4 linked regions of the Drosophila melanogaster genome follow. The protein of the gene in region 1 interacts with the protein of each later gene in a pairwise test. Each region holds a gene or a part of one and is shown in the gene's direction. Other genes may lie near its edges.

The links.
Region 2: the proteins of CG14641 (region 1) and CG13159 interact in a two-hybrid assay, tested with the Drosophila melanogaster proteins (one large-scale study listed by BioGRID).
Region 3: the proteins of CG14641 (region 1) and nuf interact in a two-hybrid assay, tested with the Drosophila melanogaster proteins (one large-scale study listed by BioGRID).
Region 4: the proteins of CG14641 (region 1) and GMF interact in a two-hybrid assay, tested with the Drosophila melanogaster proteins (one large-scale study listed by BioGRID).

What each region holds. Positions count from the first base shown.
Region 1 is NT_033777.3:4,229,645-4,235,173, reverse strand, and holds CG14641 (uncharacterized protein), read left to right. Parts: upstream 1-2,831; 5' UTR 2,832-2,931; coding exon 2,932-4,188; 3' UTR 4,189-4,395; downstream 4,396-5,529. Other genes in the region: abs (abstrakt), read right to left, coding at 186-2,045.
Region 2 is NT_033778.4:12,372,954-12,377,242, forward strand, and holds CG13159 (uncharacterized protein), read left to right. Parts: upstream 1-2,332; 5' UTR 2,333-2,415; coding exon 2,416-2,646; 3' UTR 2,647-2,725; downstream 2,726-4,289. Other genes in the region: CG13160 (uncharacterized protein), read left to right, coding at 43-197, 254-637, 695-875, 932-1,116, 1,170-1,313, 1,377-1,868, 1,921-2,088; Cpr49Aa (cuticular protein 49Aa), read left to right, coding at 3,745-3,756, 3,819-4,028, 4,136-4,289.
Region 3 is NT_037436.4:14,216,880-14,223,490, forward strand, and holds the start of nuf (nuclear fallout), read left to right. Parts: upstream 1-2,862; 5' UTR 2,863-3,057; intron 3,058-4,560; exon of another isoform or gene 4,561-4,621; intron 4,622-6,611. Other genes in the region: CG7768 (uncharacterized protein), read left to right, coding at 1,504-1,998.
Region 4 is NT_033779.5:16,299,997-16,305,239, reverse strand, and holds GMF (glia maturation factor), read left to right. Parts: upstream 1-2,285; 5' UTR 2,286-2,466; coding exon 2,467-2,469; intron 2,470-2,628; coding exon 2,629-2,722; intron 2,723-2,788; coding exon 2,789-2,979; intron 2,980-3,034; coding exon 3,035-3,163; 3' UTR 3,164-3,584; downstream 3,585-5,243. Other genes in the region: c(2)M (crossover suppressor on 2 of manheim), read right to left, coding at 1-77, 136-443, 496-880, 935-1,118, 1,178-1,458, 1,515-1,678, 1,758-1,888; CG17328 (uncharacterized protein), read right to left, coding at 3,632-4,747, 4,804-4,929. UniProt on the Drosophila melanogaster protein: Inhibits Arp2/3-mediated actin nucleation. Together with flr, promotes Arp2/3-nucleated actin filament array disassembly. Promotes debranching. Regulates lamellipodial protrusion dynamics possibly by facilitating lamellipodial retraction.

The sequences.
Region 1 (5,529 bases):
GAAACGCGCGCGCGTCCGGCCGAGATCGCTCTCTGGGGTTGCTGGGACGATTGATAAGCAAAGCTTCGTGCGATAAGCAGCAAACTGAACTTAAAACAGAGTGAAAATAAATTTAAAAGTTCCCAGAAAAGTATGTATGTATACTAATCTATTTATTACTATTTTAATTTGGTGGTGGTAGTGGTTTAGTAATCCGCAGCGGTGTTAGATAGGTAGTCGCGACGTCCTATGTTTGAAGCTTGCTTGTTCTGAACAGCCTCAAGTTTTGGGCACTCCGTGATGCGATGGCCCAGACCACCACAGTAGGTGCAGCCATGCGAGTCACCCAGGTCCAGGTGCTGGTGTTCGGTCTCAGGTGCCAGTTCGTCCAAGAAGTCCGGGACCTCTTGCTTGCCCTCGATTAGCAGGTGCTTCAGGTCGAGCAGAACCGACTGCTCGGTAGTCTTGTTTATCAGCGTCGTAGCCAATCCCTTAGTGTTGGAACGACCTGTGCGGCCAATACGATGCACATAGTTTTCAATATCGTCCGGCATGTCGTAGTTAATAACGTGTTGCACGTTAGGGAAGTCCAGGCCCTTCGATGCCACGTCGGTGGCCACCAGCACATCTTTTTTGCCCACGCGGTAAGCATCGACTGCCCGCGATCGTTCTTCCTGATCCTTTCCGCCGTGAATAGCCACCGCCTCCACGCCTTTCAACAGCAGATACTCATGTATGCAGTCTACATCCTGCTTCTTCTCAGCAAAAATGAGCACGGGCGGCGCGGTCTTCTGTAGGCAGTCCAGCAAATATACCACCTTTGCCTCTTGCTTAACGTACTCAACCTGTTGGGTGACGTTCATTGACGCAGCACCTGCGCGACCCACATTTATTGTGACAGGCTTCACGAGAGCTGATCGAGCAAAGTTCTGGATCTTTTTTGGCATGGTGGCAGAGAATAAAAGTGTCTGTCGCTGGCCTTTGAAGAAAGAGAATATCGTACGAACGTCCTCTTCAAATCCCATGTCAATCATGCGGTCAGCCTCGTCCATGCACAAGTACCGGCACATGTCCAGCGTAAGGATCTTCTTGTCCAGCATATCCATTAGACGACCAGGGGTCGCCACCACAATATGTACGCCGCGTGAGATGACGTCAAGGGCCTCGCTGACCGGCAAACCACCCATGGCCAGGCAGGAACGAATCTCAGGCATTCCGCATGCCTGGAGGTGCTTGCTGTAGTGTTGAATTATCTCGTGTGTTTGCTTGGCCAGTTCGCGGGACGGGCAAATGATCAGGCCGTAGGGGCCCTCGTTACGCTCAAAAGGCAGACTATACTCCTGTTCCAGGGCAAACATGATGACTGGCAGCACGAAGACAAGCGTTTTTCCAGACCCAGTGAAGGCTATTCCAATTAGGTCGCGGCCGGCTAGTACAGTGGGCAGGCCTTGCACTTGGATTGGGGTCGGGTTCTTAATGCCTTTGGCCGCTAAGCCGTTAAGTATACCTTTAGGGAACTTCATTTCCCGGAAGCTGCGAATTGGCGGGCTGGGGGTTTCTCCCTCCACTAGGATCCTCAACTCGTGGCGAACGGCCTCGCGCTCTTCCTCCGACATTTCCCGAATGTAACGCGGCGGTTTCCAAGCTGTTTTAATAGGCTGCTCGTACTGAATCCCCTTCGCCAACTCTGCCACACCCATAAGGGCCTTCTGCTGAGCAATGCTCTCCATAATCTTTTCCTCCTCTCGCAGCTGCTTTTCGACGGCACTCAACTTTTTGGCCTCGGCAATTTTCTTCAGTTCTGTGTGCTGGTCCAGCAGACTAATGTTGTACTTGCGTCCCCAGGTCTCGACATCGTGCGCACCCTGCGAGTCGTCTTCATTCTCATTCTCGCTTGACGACTTGGGCTGGGCCGTTTCCGAAACCAGTTGCACGATCCTGCCCAGCTTTATCATGTGCTGCTTCTTCCGCTCCTTCACCGGTACGTATGGCACGTAGTCCTCGTTGTCCAGGTCGCCTTCCTCCGAGGACTTAGACGACCTCCGATACCGCTTTACGTGCGCCATAGCATTCGATCTATATTTCTGATTTTTGTTTGTTTCGTTTTCGCCTAATTTGACTACAACAAAGGCCACCGTACGACGTTTTAAATTAGGCGAGCCCGAAAAATACTATATTCTAATGGGTATCGATTACAGTTATTAAACAGTGATTCCACTGACAGCTTCTTGCTTATGATATATTCATGGCATGCAGACCGGATAATAGTTTTTTTTTCAATTTGGGCAAAATCTTTCGATTTCGTTTTTAGGTGCTCTGGTTTTCTGAGTTTGAGATTGAGTCTTTCTTTTTTTGTGAAAACCAAGCAACGTGAAAAATGCAACTTTTAGCGCGAAGGTTGCCATACTGTTGGTGAAATATAACAGGCAGGTAAAAATACTTAGTAAATATATTTAAAGCAGGGCCAAAAGTGCTGTTCGTAAATAATGATAATTAATTGAATAACATAAGTGGTCAGAGCGCAGTGAATACGTAACTGCGAACATCGGAATTAAAAGTGCCAAAAACTCTGTGTAAATCGCCCAGAAACATTTTATATGAACTTATGCGTGCTATCAAAAGTGTTTCAGGAACATTTCTGTTAAACGGTTAGCGAACATGAATAGTACAGAATAGTAGAATATCGTATTGATCGGTTTCGGATCAGTCGAATGCAATATATTTTTGTGTGCATTTGGGTATAGATATATATTCTAAGCAGTGTGAATATGCTATTAAATTCAATAAATTATATCGATTGCTGACTTTGAACTAACTGTCTGCTTCTGGCTCAACTTATCGATATTGGTATATCACTCGCGACACACCACCATTTTCGACAAGTAGAAAGCGAATGAGCATTGTCTAAATTTAGCTCGGATTTTAAGTGCAAGGTACATAAGTGCCGCTGCTATGTCTATGTCAAAAACGACTAACACCTATAACCGGCAGAACTGGGAAGATGCTGAATTCCCAATTCTGTGCCAAACTTGCCTTGGCGACAATCCGTACGTGCGGATGATTAAAGAGCGGTTCGGCAAGGAATGCAAGATATGCACGCGTCCATTCACAATATTTCGATGGTGTCCTGGTGCTCGTATGCGCTTCAAAAAGACGGAGATATGTCAAACGTGTGCGCGCCTGAAGAACGTGTGTCAGACCTGCCTCTTGGACCTGGAGTACGGACTGCCGATTCAAGTACGAGATGCGGCGCTCAAAGTGGCTGACAATATGCCACAAAGCGACGTTAACAAGGAATACTACATCCAAAACATAGACGCCCAGCTGCAGGACGGAGATGGCACGGAGGCGGCAGGAGCTGTCGGTCGATCCCTCGCCGCCAACGAGATGTTGTCCAAGCTTGCGCGCACAGCACCCTATTACAAAAGAAATCGGCCGCACATCTGCTCCTTTTGGGTTAAGGGCGAGTGCAAGCGTGGAGAGGAGTGCCCATACCGCCACGACAAGCCCAACGAGCCGGACGATCCGCTATGTGAGCAAAACATCAAGGACAGGTACTACGGACGCAACGATCCTGTGGCCGAGAAGATCATGAAGCGTGCAGCCTCGCTTCCCACACTCGAGCCGCCGGAGGACCGCAACATCACAACTCTCTATGTGGGGAACCTTCCTGAAGAAATCACGGAACCCGAGCTGCGAGATCAGTTCTACCAGTTCGGCGAAATTCGATCAATTGCGCTGGTGCCACGCCAGCAGTGCGCTTTTGTGCAATACACCAAAAGAAACGCTGCCGAGCTGGCTGCTGAGCGGACCTTTAATAAACTGGTGATCCAGGGCCGGAAGGTGAGCATTAAGTGGGCTCACTCTCAGGCAAAGCAGGGCACCGCTGCAAAGACAGACAGACGCTTCGACTTGGCCGGCATTCCACCGCCTAGCGCGAAGCCCAACGACTACTTCAATCTTCGCCAAGAGCAAATCAATGTCATGCCCGCCGGCATGAAGCTGCATCAGTTGCCATCAAATCTAGTTCCGGCGTCGGCTTACCAAATGTATGGTCAGCCTACTTATGCAGCTCCCTACGGAAACGCCACTTCCACAGCCCTTTCTTCCTCGGGTGTCAATTTGGATTCCATATCGATTCCTCCGCCACCGGGTCAAGTACCGTATCCAAGTCAGGACGCCAGTCGGATGGGAGCTGTTAAAAAGTAGGAAAACCCTGTGGTCTACAATGGTTCCAATTCAATAAATCATTTTTATAAAATTAAATACAAACTTTTTAAAGTGGTCAGTTCCATAAAAATGACTTAATATTAATAGAATTTATCCGTATGGACGAAATTGTTTTCGATTCGAATTGTTAAGAAAAAACACCAAACAATTAGAGAGGAGAAGATAATAATAAATGATTTAAACTCTAAAAAAAAAAAGAAAAAAAGAACAAATTTTCGTCACAAAAGCTTATATCAAAACTTTTGTACATATGTATGTTGATGTGCGTTCGTCACTCGTTTTTACCTTTAATAAATGCTTTTCTTTGATTTGGACGATATTTGGGATTAAAAAAAGTACACCAATGCACATGTACATATGTAAGTTCATTCTTCAGTATTTATAGGGGAACTTAACATTGGGATTATGACTACCTCCCTGCATTCCATTCATTCAGATTTCATCAGCTCATTACTGATCATTAAAAATCTCGATCAAATTAATCACAGGTTAATTTGTATTAAAAAAAAAAACCATGACCTGAACCTATGTTCTAGGAAATCATCGCATAGCGCAAAATCAAAATCACGCATAAGCGCTATAAATGATAGCTCAATTCATCTCTCTACACCTCTTTTTATTCACTTAATCCTCTATCAATTTTAATGAAAAAGTGAAATTTCAGTCATTTATTAATAAAAATGTATTTTCTTAATTAGACTTATTTAAATTATGCATAGGATTTAAATTTAAGAATACAAATACATATATATGTATGTGAAATTCCAGAGTCTTTGGCGTCCTGTCCTACGGAGTTAGGACCAGCTTCTTTTCAGTTCACATGTCCGATTTACCTTAAGGTAAAATAATGTATAATTATGTATACAAAAACGAGTTAAACCAATTTACCTTAAATTATCGTTTCTGTGAGTAGTGTTTGTTGCTTATTGTAAAATAAATCCATTACCTGTAATTATTATTGAATTAAATTCCAAAATATTTACAATTTTTTTTTAAAACAAGCACTCAAAATCGCGTCTACTTCTCACAAAAGTCTATAGGCAAGTGATCTGCAAACATGTTCTATGTACATTACAAATTTAAAATTTAAATTTAAATTTGCAATTAAATAAAAAATCGCATACTGAGACCTTCGGTTAGAAATTAAAAAGCGATGAATTTGTTTTCAAAATCATCGCTTATTCCTCGTTATGATTAAGAACATTAGCATCGCTTTAAAATTTTAAGAGAGAGATGATGTAATATTTTTTAATAGCGATGAATTGTGGGACTACAGGGTAGGTAAAGGTTACATATGTACAGGTGCGAGCAGTGCAAATA
Region 2 (4,289 bases), on another chromosome or scaffold:
TATCCTTTTCAACCACACTACTCAGGAGCTCTTCTCTTTCAGGCTTGGACATGGCCGGCGTGTACAATGGATTCGTTTATCACACGAAATTCGATCGCTACGCGGTGATAAGTCTCGATTCCCTGCAGAATTCCGGCGACAATTTACTGGCCTTGGTATGGAGTATTTCGAATGCCGAAGAAATGTACGACACAGAGGTGGGTTTCCTCTTTCGAGTGGCTTTTGTCCATTTTTCATGGTAATCTTTCAACAGGCACACGCGGCGGGACATGCAGTATTCTTCGACTTTATTGGACTGTTCTTTGTCCATTACCAGGAGTCGACTAGCTTGGCCCTGAATCTCTTCTTCTCGTTCGGTGCCATTTTGCTGGTCTGCATCTCGTTGTGGCGAATGTCCCGGGTTACTGGACAGACTATGGGCACCTATGCCGGCGTCTTTGGACTCCTATTCCTGCTAGCCCTAGCTGGTGCTCTCCTCGCCGTGGCCTTTCCTCTGCTGATGGCCACCTTTTATGATTGGGGAAATAGAACGTTGACCTATTTTAGCAACAGTTGGCTGGTCATTGGGTTGTACATTTGTCCATCGGTTATTGGCCTTGTACTGCCCATGACCCTCTACTTGACGCATACGAAGTGTGTAAGTAGTATCACTTGTTAACGAAGTTATTTTGTTATACTAAGCTATCCTCTGCAGAACAAGATCCCCCATACTTATTACTTGCATATTGTGGGTCACGCGAACTGTGTCCTTTTGGCCATCTTGTGTTTGGGTGCAACGGCTCTTAAATACCGTAGTGCCTATCTATTTCTGATCTCTCTCATTTTCTACGTTGCTGCTCTGATCATTAACCTACTGACCCGTCTCCATTGTCGCGGTAAGTTAGCTTATATATTCGTGGAGAACTTTTAATGATTCATGCCAACACTTTAGGTTATCTGTGGTCACTGGTGCTGATTGTTTTCCAGATTATACCCTTCATTTACCACGCCTACTTGTTCCACATGTTCATACTTATTCTCATTCCGATGACTGGTCGCTTTGGCGTCTCCACCAATCCGGATATACTAATCGGCGCTCTATGTGGTTTTGGCACAATTTTGGCGTTATCTTTTGCTGTAAGAAAGTTATTCACATTTATTGACTACTTTACTTAATCAGTTTCACTTAGGCTCCTTTAATCAATGTCTTTCGGCGACCGAACTGCATGCTGGGTGGTCTGGCACTGGTTATGTTTATTTTCTGCATGATTGCCGTCTCGGATGTCGGATTCCCGTATCGGCCCAAAACAAATGTCATGCGTGCCGACTTCATGGTAAGGGAAACACTAATAAGCATCCTTTGAAAGACGACTAAGTTCTATTCTTTGTCGGAGCAGCAAGTGCATCGCAAATTTTTCGAGTACAATGGTTCCATCAGCCACGAGGATTCTGGCTACTACTTCCATCTGGGGGATCGAAACAAAGAGGCACCTCTGCGCGATCACATGAACCTGACCAACCTGGTACGCCTGGGCGAGGATTGCGACTCCGAGCTGATGTGCGGTATTCCCTGCTACCGATATTGTAGTGCCCGGGAGCATGCACTTTGGCTTGCTCGAGAGGAGCCCGTGGAACTGCCTTATCCAACGGTCTTGGAGTTCCTTAGCAAGACAGTTCTGTCCGGTGGCTATCAGGTGCGCTATGAGTTCCGGCTAACTGGTCCGCCAAATATGGGTCTGTTCTTCAAGCCACTGGATGGTGTAAAACTACTCCGATGGACGTTTGCTCCCGCAATGCTGGATAATCCGGCCACTTACAGGCCTCCTCTGGAGGTCATGTTAACCTACGGTATTGATAACACTCCCATCGAATTCTTCGTGGAACTTTCTGTGCGTATTTAATGGGTCGTTCTGATAACTATACTAACTAACTGATTCTTAGAAGGACGATGGCAACTTCAATGAACCCGTCTTTGAGATGGGCGTCTCTGGACACTATGTCAGTCCACATGATAAGCGGGATGCGTTGAGCCTGGAGTTCCTTGCCACACTTCCGGACTTTGCCTTCTCGATGGAGTGGCCCAGTAGCTACGAACGGCATATATTCTAGGATAGTTAGCTAATAAGAATACCAAGTCATTGACACTCCCAACCCGAAAAACTTTTATTTTTCGGAAAATGGAAGGGGATCAAACATTGGATGCATTTCACAATGAGTTGGTCGGTAAACATTGGTGGGGGAAAGCTAGCAATGTAGCAAACGGTAAAGGAACCATTTGTGCAAACATTACAGGGAATACTACGACTGCCGCAGTCAAAATATGGGTATAAATAGTGAGGCCTGGACCAGCGAAAGACACACTCAGAGTTCAGCAGCTCGTCCGTCGATAAGCAACAGCCAGCCAGCAATCCTAAAAGCCCAAAAAATCCAATCAACATGAAGTTCTTCGCTGTCCTCGTCTGTTTCTCCGCTGTCCTGGCCATCGCAATGGCATCTACCGCAACTACAACCAGCACTCCCACAACGCCCTCTTCGCCCACGACGACGACGTACACCTATACTACCACCCCGACCTACCCCACCTACACCTACACCACGGACACCACCACCACTAAGCCAATCAAGCAACAGCTCCTGTCCCTGCTGTTCAACAAGAAGTCCGGATAGAGCCGCCCATCCGATCCACGATGCTGCCACTTGATACGATCCTCATCACCTGAATAGCCAAATAAAAACACCAAATACCAAAAAACAAACAAGCGCCGTCTCTTGCTCTCACACAATACCGCAATCGAAGTTAACCATCTCACGTAGCATTGGGCGGTGGGACATTTGGGGCTTTACTTCCACCTCCACCTCCATTTCTACTTCGGCGGTAACTGACATTTGCTCAACTGGCAACGGAACGCCCCGGCTCAGGCATTACCGCCTTTTGGCCGGACCTGTTCAAGAAACATCTGTTCGGCTGCCGCAAAGGTCAAGCGGCACTTGCCACATTCAGTTAGCTGGTGAGTAAGTCAGTTGGCCAGCCAGACATGATCATGGTCAGGTGGCAGTCATAATCCCGCCAATGATGATCATCAAGCCGTTGAGTCAAATGTCTAATGACTGCACTGACAAATTGATGTAGGAATGCAGCAGTCTGTCCCTATTCCTCTCACGCTGCCGAGGATGAGTTATGAATGTCAAGCTGGTCATGTTCAACACGATCCGAGATGATCATAGTGCCTCCAACGCCCCTCGCAATACAGGTGCACAGTGGGCGATGGCTAGCTAGGATAGTTTCTATTGCAGCAAGCAATTGAAGATGCAACTGTGCTGATGATAACTTCCAGCATAACAACTTAATGTTGTGAGATATTATACTAAACTATATTTTTCTTTGCTCTAATGATAAAGTAGAGTCCCCACTGTGGCTGTCATGTAGACAACTCATTCGACAAATTGCAGCATATCGGATGGGTCGTGCACTTGTAGGTGGATTCGATTCGATTCGGTCCGGTCCGGTTCGGTTCATTTGCGCTCCATGGGAGATGGTATTGGCCTCCGACAAGAGCCACCTAAAAGAGGCTTCCGATCGGCGGGTCTTCAAAATGCTAGGCGTTCACTCTTTAATCTCCAACTGCAATAGTGTCTGTGTGCAAAAGTTCAAGCGATTTGGTATAAATATGCAAAGAGTCGCCTCTGTTGACCACAGTAACGGATCGAGACGAACTCGGAGCAGACGACCAGGACCCAGGATCACAGGATACAGCTCGGTTCGACATGCAATACACAGTAAGATGGAAGAGATCAACTTGGGTATACTCCATGCTGATATCGCATCCGCGTGCTTTCAGCTGCTCTTCATAGCAGCCCTGCTGCTCAGCTTGGCCCAGGCCAGACCACAAGTGAGAGGCCAAGCGCCGGGAGAACCCATTCCAATTATCAGACAGGAGCAGGAGGTCAACTTCGACGGCTCCTACAAGTATCTGTACGAGACGGGCAACGGCATCAACGCCGAGGAGGAGGGCTACCTCAAGAATCCAGGCACCGATAATGCCGGCCAGGTGGGTGTAGGAGAACTCCATTCACAGTCGTGCCTGGCATTTGCCGGCTACCAGTTGGCCAAACGAAACGAGCACTAACTTGCATTTGCCCTTTTACCGCTCCAAAGGTCGCACAGGGCTCCTTCTCGTACACCTCACCCGAGGGCATTCCGATTCGGATAACCTATCTGGCGGACGAGAATGGCTTCCAGCCGCAGGGCGACCACCTGCCCACGCCGCCACCCATCCCGCCTGCAATCCAGAAGGCATTGGCCTACTTGG
Region 3 (6,611 bases), on another chromosome or scaffold:
ACTTGGTAAGTGCTAAAACGAACCCACAAAAGTGTTTCTTGTCTACCTTTTATCTAAGCTGAAAAATCGCCCGAAGAATTGGCCATAATGTGAATTTATGTTCCCACACACACTCATACACTCGCAAGTCCATAAAAGAGGCGCCTATTTCTGGGGGCGTGGCAGTGGGAGCAGTTGGCAAGTAGAAATCCTACGCTTTCCATTACGTCATGTTGGCTTTCCGTATATTACTTTTTGCACAAGGTTGTCCAAGGCGAACGGGGCGTTACATTAATGGGTAACTAGTCAAAACGAATCGAATCGGTTTCGAGTTCGAGTTCAGTTGGGGCTACACTTGTCTTGGCCAACTATGGATTGTATCTTTCTTGTCTTCGCTATTCGGTCGCACTACAATTTATTATAAGTAATGAGACAGTGGAGAGTCGAGTTAACAATTACGACCTACGTGCGAATAACCTTCTTTCGTTAAATCATCTTGAACTTTTGGCATTTTGAGGGGAGATTATCTAAGGGTCTTGAAGTAGCTTGTTTTTAATTTTTATTTTTATTTATGAGCGAAAAATACATAAAAAATGATTATAAAGCTTATAAAGGGAAAGTCCGTGCAACTTATTAAATATGCCAAACCTACTTTATCGAACATTGTGTTTACAACGTTCTCGGTTACTAGCCAATCTTATCGTACTTCAACCTTCCTTTATTTTCCCCTTATAACAATTCTTATGTATATGTATACCCAAATAGCAATTGTTGTCTTGGAAACTCACTAGGCCCTGGACTTTAATATATACACAAAATGTGCTAAACCCAAAGAAGTCGGGGATAGAAGAGTTTTAAAGGAGTGCTATGCGTTCATATAGACAACAAACAAATGAATAAATATAAATGCAATAGCAGCTTCTTTAAAACGTGGATAATTCTCACAGTTTGTATTTGCTTTGGCAAATAAATATTGACTATTTTTTTTGCCTAATTATACAAACATACACTCATCGCGTGGATGGATATATAAAGTTTGTACACAACTGCAAATGAAAGGTAAATATAGCCGGCTTTAAAAGTATCTGTGAGTTTTGCGTTGATTAAGGCGGCGGTTAAACAAATTAGAAGAGTAAATAAGGTCTGTAAGATTAGACACGGATAAAGGTATTTTAAGGACAATATTACCTTAAAATATCCAAATATACCGATCATTTGCAATGTATTAAAAATTGTGGAAGCCAAAGCAGGCATTTTTTTTTGCTACTGGATTTTATAAAGAAGGCTGTGAAATGAATTTCAACGAGCCCTTACTTCAGATCCCTGACTAGCCCAGAATATTCGTCAGTTCAGTTCCAGCTGTTCTACTGTACGGTTCTCTTGAAAGTCGTTACTTTTTTTTATCATAAAGCTGACACCACCAAGTTATCCGGTAAATATATTTCTTGTTTTTGAACAAGGCATCGTTCGATTTTAAACCTAATAGATCTGGCTTTTCTCCGAAAATTTTCGGCATCTGCGAAGATGTCGTTGCCACGCGTTTACTTCGATATAGCCGCAGGAGGTGAGAAGTTAGGTAGAATTGTGATGGAACTACGTTCGGATGTGGTGCCCAAGACGGCGGAGAATTTCCGGGCCCTCTGCACCGGAGAGAAGGGGTACGGCTACAAGGGATCACCATTCCACCGCGTCATCCCGAATTTCATGTGTCAGGGCGGTGATTTCACTAATCAAAACGGAACTGGAGGACGCTCCATTTATGGAAACAAGTTTCCCGATGAGAATTTCGAGCTAAAGCATACCGGAGCTGGTGTACTTTCGATGGCCAATGCTGGGGCCAATACCAATGGATCTCAGTTTTTCATTTGCACCGGGAAAACCACATGGCTGGATAATAAGCATGTCGTGTTCGGCAAGGTCGTTGAGGGAATGGATATCGTCCAGAAGGTAGAATCTTACGGTTCACAAGATGGGAAGACCAGCAAGAAAGTAATTATCGAAGACTGCGGAGCCCTCTGAAGGGTGTCAATACATAATAGTGCTGTCAATCACACATTTACACTATTACACTGAAATTATACTTTTCAAGAAAACTTTGCAAAATAAAAGGGGGTGCAAAAAAATGTATTTTGTCGGTTCAACTATTTACATCGCTCTCATATGTTACGCATTTCAGACCAATTCGTTGAATAATCCGGTGCACCCTGAACAGCCCAGTTCCCTGACTCATTTTCCTTTGATTTTTCTTTCCATTACTTTTAATTGACTCAATTTAGTTCAAGAGTTGCTCACATATGTCGCTTTTGATTCTTTCCACTCGATTCTCATTCTGTCTCCCATCACCTTTCCCTCAAGCCATTCTATCCACTTTACCCGAATGCACTTTGCAAATGTCTATTAAGTCACATACACTGATGAAAAAAAAGAATTAACCACCAGTAATACATATGTATATGTTTGGTAAAGTGCACTTTACTAAATACATTCAAAAACTCAAATTGAATCCATTATTTTTTAAATATATTCTGCAATATAAGTTTTGTTTAAACAAATATTATATTTGGAAGTTAGTATTTCTTTTCAAACCTAAAAACACCTGGCTAACTATGTTATACAATGTGTATATGTGTATGTGCATATAAGCCACTCAGCAAACAAAATTTTCTTTTCTCAAGTGCATGTAATACGAATTTCCAACACTGCTAAGTCACATTAGTGGAATTTTTCTATTGCGTTCGTTTTGCTTTGGGGCTCTGTTTTTTTGTATTTCTTTTCGTTATTTTTTCGGGCACCCAAAACAAGTCGCGGCTTCTGCCGACGTCGACCGAGGCAGCGGCAGAGGAGGGGCCGCGACTTGGCGCTGGCTTTTCAGCGCTTTCCTCTCTCAGATTGCATTTAACGCTTGCCGCGTTCACAACACTAGAAAAGCGGAGCAGCGCATCGAACGGTCGCCCTGTCTCTCACTCTCTCGCGCTCTCTCGCGCGGGTGTTTTGTTGTTGGGCAATGCAATTGCCAAGGAAAAGGAAAATGCAGCTGCTGCTGCTGCTCTCCTAAGCAAAATAGCCAAATTAAAAAAGGTTCGAAATTCGAGAAAATTAACCCAAAGTTACCTCAATTCGTGTGTTTTTTGTGTGTTACCTATTATCGATCGAATTCGCTTATCAGCTGTGTCAGGTGCCTTTGGCTCATTAACCGCTTATTTAAGGAAAAATGTGAAATCAAAACAAATTCGTTAATGACAGGGTCTGTTGTGAAAACCCGTAATCAAAGTAGCCTTGTTCGGCTCATGTTTCTAATTTTCATACCCTCTGGCAAATATATTGGTTGATTGATCTTAAATTGAAAAGTGCGGTTGAATCAGTTTGCCAAGTGTTTTATCGAAACATAAAAAATGGAAATCAAGTGTGGCATAAAATTGATAAATGATACAATAAATGGGACAAAATGAAAGAAAAAATAAAATAGCTTTAAACAATTCAAAGCAATTCTTCGTTATGGGGCGTTAAAAGTTGAAAAAACACTGACGGTAATTGATGAAGTAAAACGAAGAAAGATAAGGTGATCAAATTTGCAAAACCGGCACAATGTAAATTAATTGTGCTTTTTGTGTTGATTTTTTTTATTATTAATGGAGACAAGTTTAAGTATTTTCTTAAAAAGTTTAGTAAACTTAGGAAGATGAAAAAAAAAAAATAATATTGCCTCTTTAAAAATCAAGTCTTGTTTTCATTGCTTTCGGCAGTTTCTACATTCAAAGGGAATTAAATAAATCAAGGGCTTCCACCGAGAATAACGCATAGCAGTTCCAAGTTCATTCATTATACATAACTCGTACTTCTTAATTTCTTTTACTAGGCATTTTCCGTACCGTTAAGTTTGGTAGGAAAATATTCTTTCATTAGCGATGGTTCGTCAATTAGTAGGCATATAAATCTAACGGCACAGTGCCCTAACAGCACAGAAGACAACTAACCGGAACTGAAAACTAGCACTAAAAACCAATAAGTAAAAGGCCTAAGGTAGCCGCAATAACAAAAGAACGGAAAAGACCCTCTGATGACATCAACAAAAAGGGGGTGTACGAAAGAGATGGGACGAAATGGATGGAGATTACCATCCAATCCCGCATGCGTCCCGTTACTCTTGCTTTTCGGTTCGTGTCCACGCTTATTCACTTGCGCTTTTATTTAGTAATGAGTAAAACATATACATACATACGTATGTATGCATATATGAACATATGATGGGAGGCATTTTGGGAGCGGTTGGCTTGGGGTGACCGTATATAAATTCCACATAATTATGCGCTGTCCCTGACTCAAAAACCATATGTTCAAAATAAAGGAGGCGGGCGGATTCGGCGAGAGAATCACCCTCGGACATATGGCGAAAAACTTTTCCTTTGGGGGATCGGATCGCTCTCTTTCTTCGGTCCCTTGTCATTGCTCTTGTTTGTTGATTATTATTTTTTCCTATTTATAAAGATTGCGCCTCCCCAAATTCGCTCTCCCAGTCTCTCATTTTTCTCTCTATCGCTGGCGACTGCCTCGGTTTATTTTGCCCCTGAATTTCTGGTTCATTCAGTTTGCTTTTCGCGTTTCGCGTGCTTTAATCGAAATTTGTTTTTCTCCCTCGATTGTGGTTGTAATAAAATACATAATACACCATTTTAAATAATCGAAAAAATTAGCTATTCACTTTTAAAATTGAAAAATATTTGTGAGATCGCGGCACAGATTATTGAAGATCATAAAATCGGCAGGAAAATTAAAAATATTTTAAAGGATTGCATCATTAGTTTTTGGTTCTTTTAAGCAAAAGCTTTCAAGAAAGTTATAGAATACATAATAGTACATTAAAAATAATCAATGACAATTTTTTTTCAAGTTCTTATGTATATGATTCCCATATAATTGATGCAAAGTCTTTAAATATACATTTGTTTGAAATCATGAATATTTTATGTGGTACTCAGCATTCCTGATCCAATTTCGGCTAATCATTGTATATTTTACAACCTTTTTGTTGTAACTTGTTCACTTCACTTTGTTGCATGAAAAGTGCACAGCAGCGAAGTAAAATTTGCATTTAATGAGCTCCCCTCGTTCGACTCATCCCCATTTTCACCCCTTCCTTCGTCGACCATTGTATGCAAATCTTTGTGGAATTCAATTTTGCTGAAGAGTAGCTAATGATAATTTTCTATTATGCTGTTTTTGATTGCCTGACATGGGCGAGGAAAAAATGGTTGAAGAGATATGATAATCCAAAAATATTCAGCTGACAAGAAAGGAAAGTTTACTTCATTAGCAAATTAGTTTTAGTTGAATTGAAATCAGATTATTCGGTTACTTACTGTACTTGTATTGAAGGAATTGGATTGTATTTTGATAAGGGTTTCCAAATCATTTGTAATAAAGTTGTATTTTATTTATTTGAATGCTTATTTCGTAAATCAACTTGGAATCATTCAAAGCAAATAAAGTTCTTTAAAAAGTAAAATCTTTATCAGTCATGCCCTGCTTTTAATTGGCCCTCATATTGACCTTTATTTAAATTTGTATGTGATAACGTGAAAATGAAGCTTTGACAAGGGCACCTTAACTATACACGTCGCCGAACGATTTGATAAGACTAAGAATGATTCAGTTTACTAGACTACAAAAGTAAACAGCACGCCACAAATTCCAAGTAAAAGAAAAGCAAACTTAGCCAGCCATTGCATTTTCTGGTAATTAGAAACTAGGCGGGAATTCAAAACCTGAGGAACAAAATAACAATGAAAATAGGGAGAGGTTGGAAAATAGCTGTACGACGAGGATATGTAAAATTGTCTAGAATTCTGCTCAAAGTCTGAACAAAATAATTTTACGGTCTGTTGGTTCTAAAAAAAAAAGAAGAAGTAAAGAGAGGGTTGGCTTATATAATGTATACTGTGACTAGCACACTTAATGCCAGAAAAAAGAATGCTTTTATCTGTGTAATCTTCTTATTTTTTTTTTAATATTTCTTATACCAATGCAATAATAATGGAAGGTAAAAACAATTTGTGGTAGATCAGTTTGTGGCAGGAAACAGCTGTTGTATGTCGCGACTTTTGTCTCTTTCCCTTCGTCTCTAGCCCTCCTTGTCGTTTTCCCCAGTCTGTAAAATGGGGTTAGCATGTTGTTTCAGTTTCACCTTTTAGTTCTTTGTCTTAGCGTGGGCGGTCGTCCGAAAGGTTTATTGCCATGTAAAATGCAACAACAGAAGAAATAATTGCAAATGCAAACTGCAACACCAGGCCAAGAAATCGAGGTTAGACGGGGTAATTGGCACGAATTTGTTGCCAAGTTGAAATATTGGAAGTTTTCTAGGGGTTCGTAGGAATACAAAAGTTCGAAAGAAACTAGCCACTTATATATAGATTAGAATACATAAATGATGAGGGTCCGGAAGTAACTACCCACTTAAATGTATATTAGAATACATAAATGAGTAAGTGCATCCGAATTTCGGAAGTGGTGTGATTCATTTATGGGTATGCTTCGATCACATTAATCTTCTTGATTTTTAAATTCCCCAAATATTTTTCCGAGCAACCCCAGAAATCTATTTACGATCCACCCTATCCCAACTTAACCATGACTTG
Region 4 (5,243 bases), on another chromosome or scaffold:
ATCAATGGCATCGATTCCCGTGATTTTCGGATTATTACGCCAAATGCTTAAGAGACTCATCATTACGCTGTAGGTATCTGCAATGAGATTATATTTTATTTACGATAGCATGTTGTAAACATTGGCTGAACTCACCATCATGATTATCCTCACGGTATATGCCGTGCTCATTCATTTCATTATGATAATTCTGATTTACATCATCACGTGGCTGAAGTTGAGGTTGCACACAGTCTTCCACTTCAAGCGGTTCGGGCTGATAGATATGTGCCGCTTTATCCCTACATTTTGTAGCCTGCGATGGTCGCACAAATATCTCTTTAGAAAGATTCTCGGTAAACTCGCAGCCAAATATGGTTCTCAATGTGTTTTCTGCCTCGAATTCCTTTTCTTCATTACTGAGCTTAGGTCCGGAGTGGTTATGAAGAGCTAAAAAACTTACACTACATCAAAAAATTAAAAAGTTTTAAATAGCAAAATGTATAAGGCTCCTACTTATTATACAGTTTACAGAGAAGTTCCTTAGGGGGTTTCCGTAAATCCGAGGATTTTGGCACTATCACATTCCTTGAAAGGTATTCTTCCATATATTTCTGTCTATGCTTCACCAGCTGCTCCCGGGTGTATTCAATTCGTTTGTCTACTATTAGCTTTCTTTTCCGATTTTTCGGGTGGCTAAATGTTATTTCTCCAAAAGAATTTAAAACGGATGGCAACGACGGTTCACAAACTATCTGAGTTACTTCAGCTGGTTCAATGTTATGCGGAAAGATTTGGGTCATGATAGCATTGTCAGCTTGGAAAACATCGCAATCATCCAATCTGGGCATTTTATCCGGTAAGATGTCAGTTGGATCCTGAGCTATTGAGTGTCGCTTTACTATAATACAAAAAAATAGTTTATTACATTTTCAATTGAATTGAGAATTCTTACGTGAGTTCCGTGTGCCATCTTTGGGGTAAAGCTCTTGAAAAATGGTTAAGTCCGCGCCCTCGGCTTCGCCAAAACCATTTGATGGCATAATTAAGCTATGATCTTCGGGAAGTTCAATCTCTTCGGTGATTGTAATGGAATGATACGACTTTGACTGAGTGCAACTCCGGGGTTGTTCAATAGACTTTTTGCGAAAAATGAAATCATATAAGGAAGCAGTCCAACAGTATATTGACGACTAACCTCGTTCAGGTCCTCCACCACCTGTTGTGTGCACTCCGTTTGCCACATCTGGCATTCGGATAGCATCTTCTCGTAGTATTCATGTGAGAATTCATCCAATAGATCCGATTCCTGCAGTCTGGGACGTTTTGATACTGTTACTTTAGATTTCTTGGTGATCACCCGCTTTCCTTTGCGTTGGATTCGAATCTCTGATTTGTTGACCACTACGGATTTTGTTGTGGTGAGAACGTAATCCAAGTTGGTACGTGTACATTGGTCAAGTAATACCTTCGTGTCCCCTGTAAGAATTCGTGATTATATATCAATGTTACGTAATATTCGGACTAATACTTACCCAAAAGTAGATCCACTTGGCATCTAAAAATATCCGCAACTCCAAAAACCAAGCGGGAAATGTCCTTGAAAATAACATTTTGCCGGTTTCTTGCGGCCAAAACATTGGATCGTTTCTGGCGTTTTCTTAATGCATTTTCCTCAATTAATTCGGTGATTTGCTTGCTGAAATGTAGATAAATGTTGAAAACAATTGAATATAATGAAATGTTAAAAAAATTCATTATATTTAATATTTAATTACCAGCAGGCGACTACATCCACATCAGCGATCTCATTTCGATTAAGTTGGCCAAATGCCGATTTCCTCGGTTTGCGCCCTCCCGCTTTCCAGCAGGAATTAAGGATGTTGCTCTCATATAAATTCAAGCTCATTGTAACTACGACATTAAGCACATAGATTATAGTATTAACTATTTATAAGTTAGTGCTCTCTGTAACAACCCTAAAGTAACGGTACTTTTTTGACAGTCCATCAGCCACTAGAGAGGACAAACATGATCCAAATATCGTATACGAACGATTTTTACCTACTATAAAATAATGATAAGTTTTAAGTATATCTACAAAACATTTTTAAAAAAGAGCGTTCCTATTTCAATCTAAAAAATACATTTCAATTATTTTTAATAAATTCCATAAATAATACCAATGTTGCCGTAAAGAAAAAAGCTTAATGAAAAAAAAACCTTTAGCAAATATTGTTATTATTTTTTAATTTATCAGAAACGTCGTTTAACAACACTTCACATATTTTTGATGCAGCACAGAATATTATTTGGCGTTCAGTGAACGGTCTCACTGCAGGAACAACAAAACAAAACTCAGAATAAACGACAGTATTTAAACGATTCCTTAAGGACAAGTGATATTGCATTCCTACAATTAACTGCCAAAAATTCGGTAGTGCAGCACACTTTACAGATCGCATCCCTAACTTCATAGCTAAAGTTATGGTAGGAAGTGTATATAGGGTCGGAAATCAATTACCAAAATGAAAACATGACTAATAGAGTGTGGGCGTGTTTTTGTTTTTGTTTTTCAATCGACGATTGTTGTTAGCAGATAACTTTGGTGATTCCAATTCATTAATCAATTATATCGATTTCATACAGAGTGATAACCAGATATGCGACATAAGCAACGAAGTTCTGGAGGAATTGAAGAAGTTTCGATTCAGCAAGAGCAAAAATAATGCGGCTTTGATATGTAAGCCTTGATTGTCATGGTAACAGATGTGTGTAGTTTTTATGACCACTCCATTGTCCCTTGCAGTGAAAGTCGACCGGGAGAAGCAAACGGTGGTGCTGGACGAGTTCATCGACGATATTTCGGTGGACGAGCTGCAGGATACATTGCCAGGACACCAGCCCCGATATGTCATCTATACGTATAAAATGGTCCATGACGATCAGCGCATTTCGTACCCAATGTGCTTCATATTCTACACACCCAGGGATAGCCAGGTGGGAGTTTAGCAATGCTCAAATATATTCTATAATTCATAACTCTCTGTTTCAGATCGAATTGCAGATGATGTACGCCTGCACGAAGAGCGCTCTTCAGCGCGAAGTAGATCTCACACGCGTCTACGAGATACGCGAACTAGACGAACTCACCGAGGAGTGGCTGAAAGCCAAGCTCAAGTAGAGAGGTTTCGATCTCTGGGATCAATCAATCCGGGCCGTTGTCAAAAGCAATATTTTATGATAGTTCTCTGATTGATTTTTGAGCTTTTTATATACATATTCAAACTGGATTAAGCCGATACCAACGATGCATACCAATACCAAACAAACCAATATTGAGATACTACAATTTTTACCTACAGAAAACACAAATCAAGCTTAGTTTATACAACAATGACATTTTTATATCGACGACAAGTATGCGACAAGTACGCGCGGGGAGTTTTTAGTGATTTTAGTTCTTGCATTTAAGTAATAATCTTAATAGAAGCTGTGCTTGCCAAATTTCTACATGTATTTATTGTAAAGATATAAAAGCAAACATGACAAAATATTCCATTTTATATAGACAAACTAAATAAAAGTGTTCAATATCAAAACATAATCTAAAACAATAATTATGATTAAGATAAATCTTCGTAGCTATACTCTAATAATGTAGTCTTTGTGCCGCCGTGTGGTGCAGCATAGTGTAACGTCCTTCACTTGGCGTTGGCGGTGGAGGCGGCGGCGGTGCCAACATGTGAGCCATTGCAGCCATTCCCATTTGTGTGGCGGGATTCGGTGGGCCGAGATGATGCAGTGCATCGTGATGGTAGTGATGCGACATAGGTGGTGCAGGAGGCAACGGCAAATTCAGTAGATTATTATTCGCCGCATGCGTGCGAAAATGTAGACTTAGGCTGTCCGCCGTATCAAATGCCTTGTCGCAATCCGGACACTTGAAGTGGGCGTGATCGAGGGTGTCCAGACCCACGGGATCCGTGTCTATAGCCTCATCATCATCATCATCCACTATATCATGGTTTGTACTGGACTCCAGAGGATGAAGCTTCAATTTATGAGTCCGCATATCTCTTCGCCTGCTGAAAGCCTTGCCGCAGACATCGCAGTGATGGTTTTTGATGCCCGTATGGGTTATCATGTGCTTGGAGAGATCACCGGCGGTGTAGAAACCTTTCTGACATAGCGAGCATACCTGATCCCGCACTCCTAAATGAATCTTCTGGTGCGCCTGGAAATTGCCTAACGCGGAAAACTGCTTTGAGCAGATCTCACACTGAAAAGGCTTGTCGCCCGTGTGCGTTCTTTCGTGGACTTTAAGATTGTACTTTTGGGCGAATCTCTGGATACAAAAGCTGCATTGGTAGGGTTTCTCGCCAGTATGTGTTCTTATATGCTGTGTTAATTGGGCAATGCATTTGAAGCTTTTGTGGCACTCGTAGCAGGTGTGGGGCATCTTTGGCACAGGTTTGGGCCCCCGTTTTTTGTGCTCTTCTGGCGGCTTTCTTTGATAGCGCGACCGCCTCTTGCTCACTTTGGCATCCACGGGTTCCTCTTCATCGCTATCGCGCTGCGGAAGCAACGGCTTCTCCACAAAGTCCGTATTGGTGGCCGCATCCTGGCGCCAGGATTCCAGAATGCCCAGATATTGTCGCAGTCGGAGATCACTGTTTTCGCATTCCTGCTTGAAGTGGAAGGCCACCCCCAGCCGGTAAATACAGTTGTTGCAGATCACCGAAGGTAGGCCATCGGTTTTAAAAACCTAAAACAATTTCCATATGCCAATTAACATTGAAATATTTTGTTTTTAGAACCCACTCTTATTTTAGCGCATTGCATCAACATTACGGAGGGCATCATAGCAAAGTCTGTACTATATATCGAAGTTACAGGATGTAGTTCCTCCAGGCAAACTCTGCATATTTTGTGGATATTATAGTCCATGTTTTATTTCAATTTTATAGAAATCAACAAAAAAATTATTGAAAATTTTGCTCTAAACTCCTATCAGCTGATTGGGACCAGGGCTGCAACGGTACAGTCGTAACTCTAGCTTGTGAAACAAATCTATCATATATGATTAAATTTGTTTCGCGTGTTTAAAATGAATTTCATACTCAATGTGGATTCATTTCCGCAAATATGCAAAAGATATAGTAATATTTTGGTGAGCTACTTCAACTACTAATTACGTTGATAAGTGTTGATAACAATGATTACATAAATATTTAAAACCCACCTTTGTTTTACGAATTATA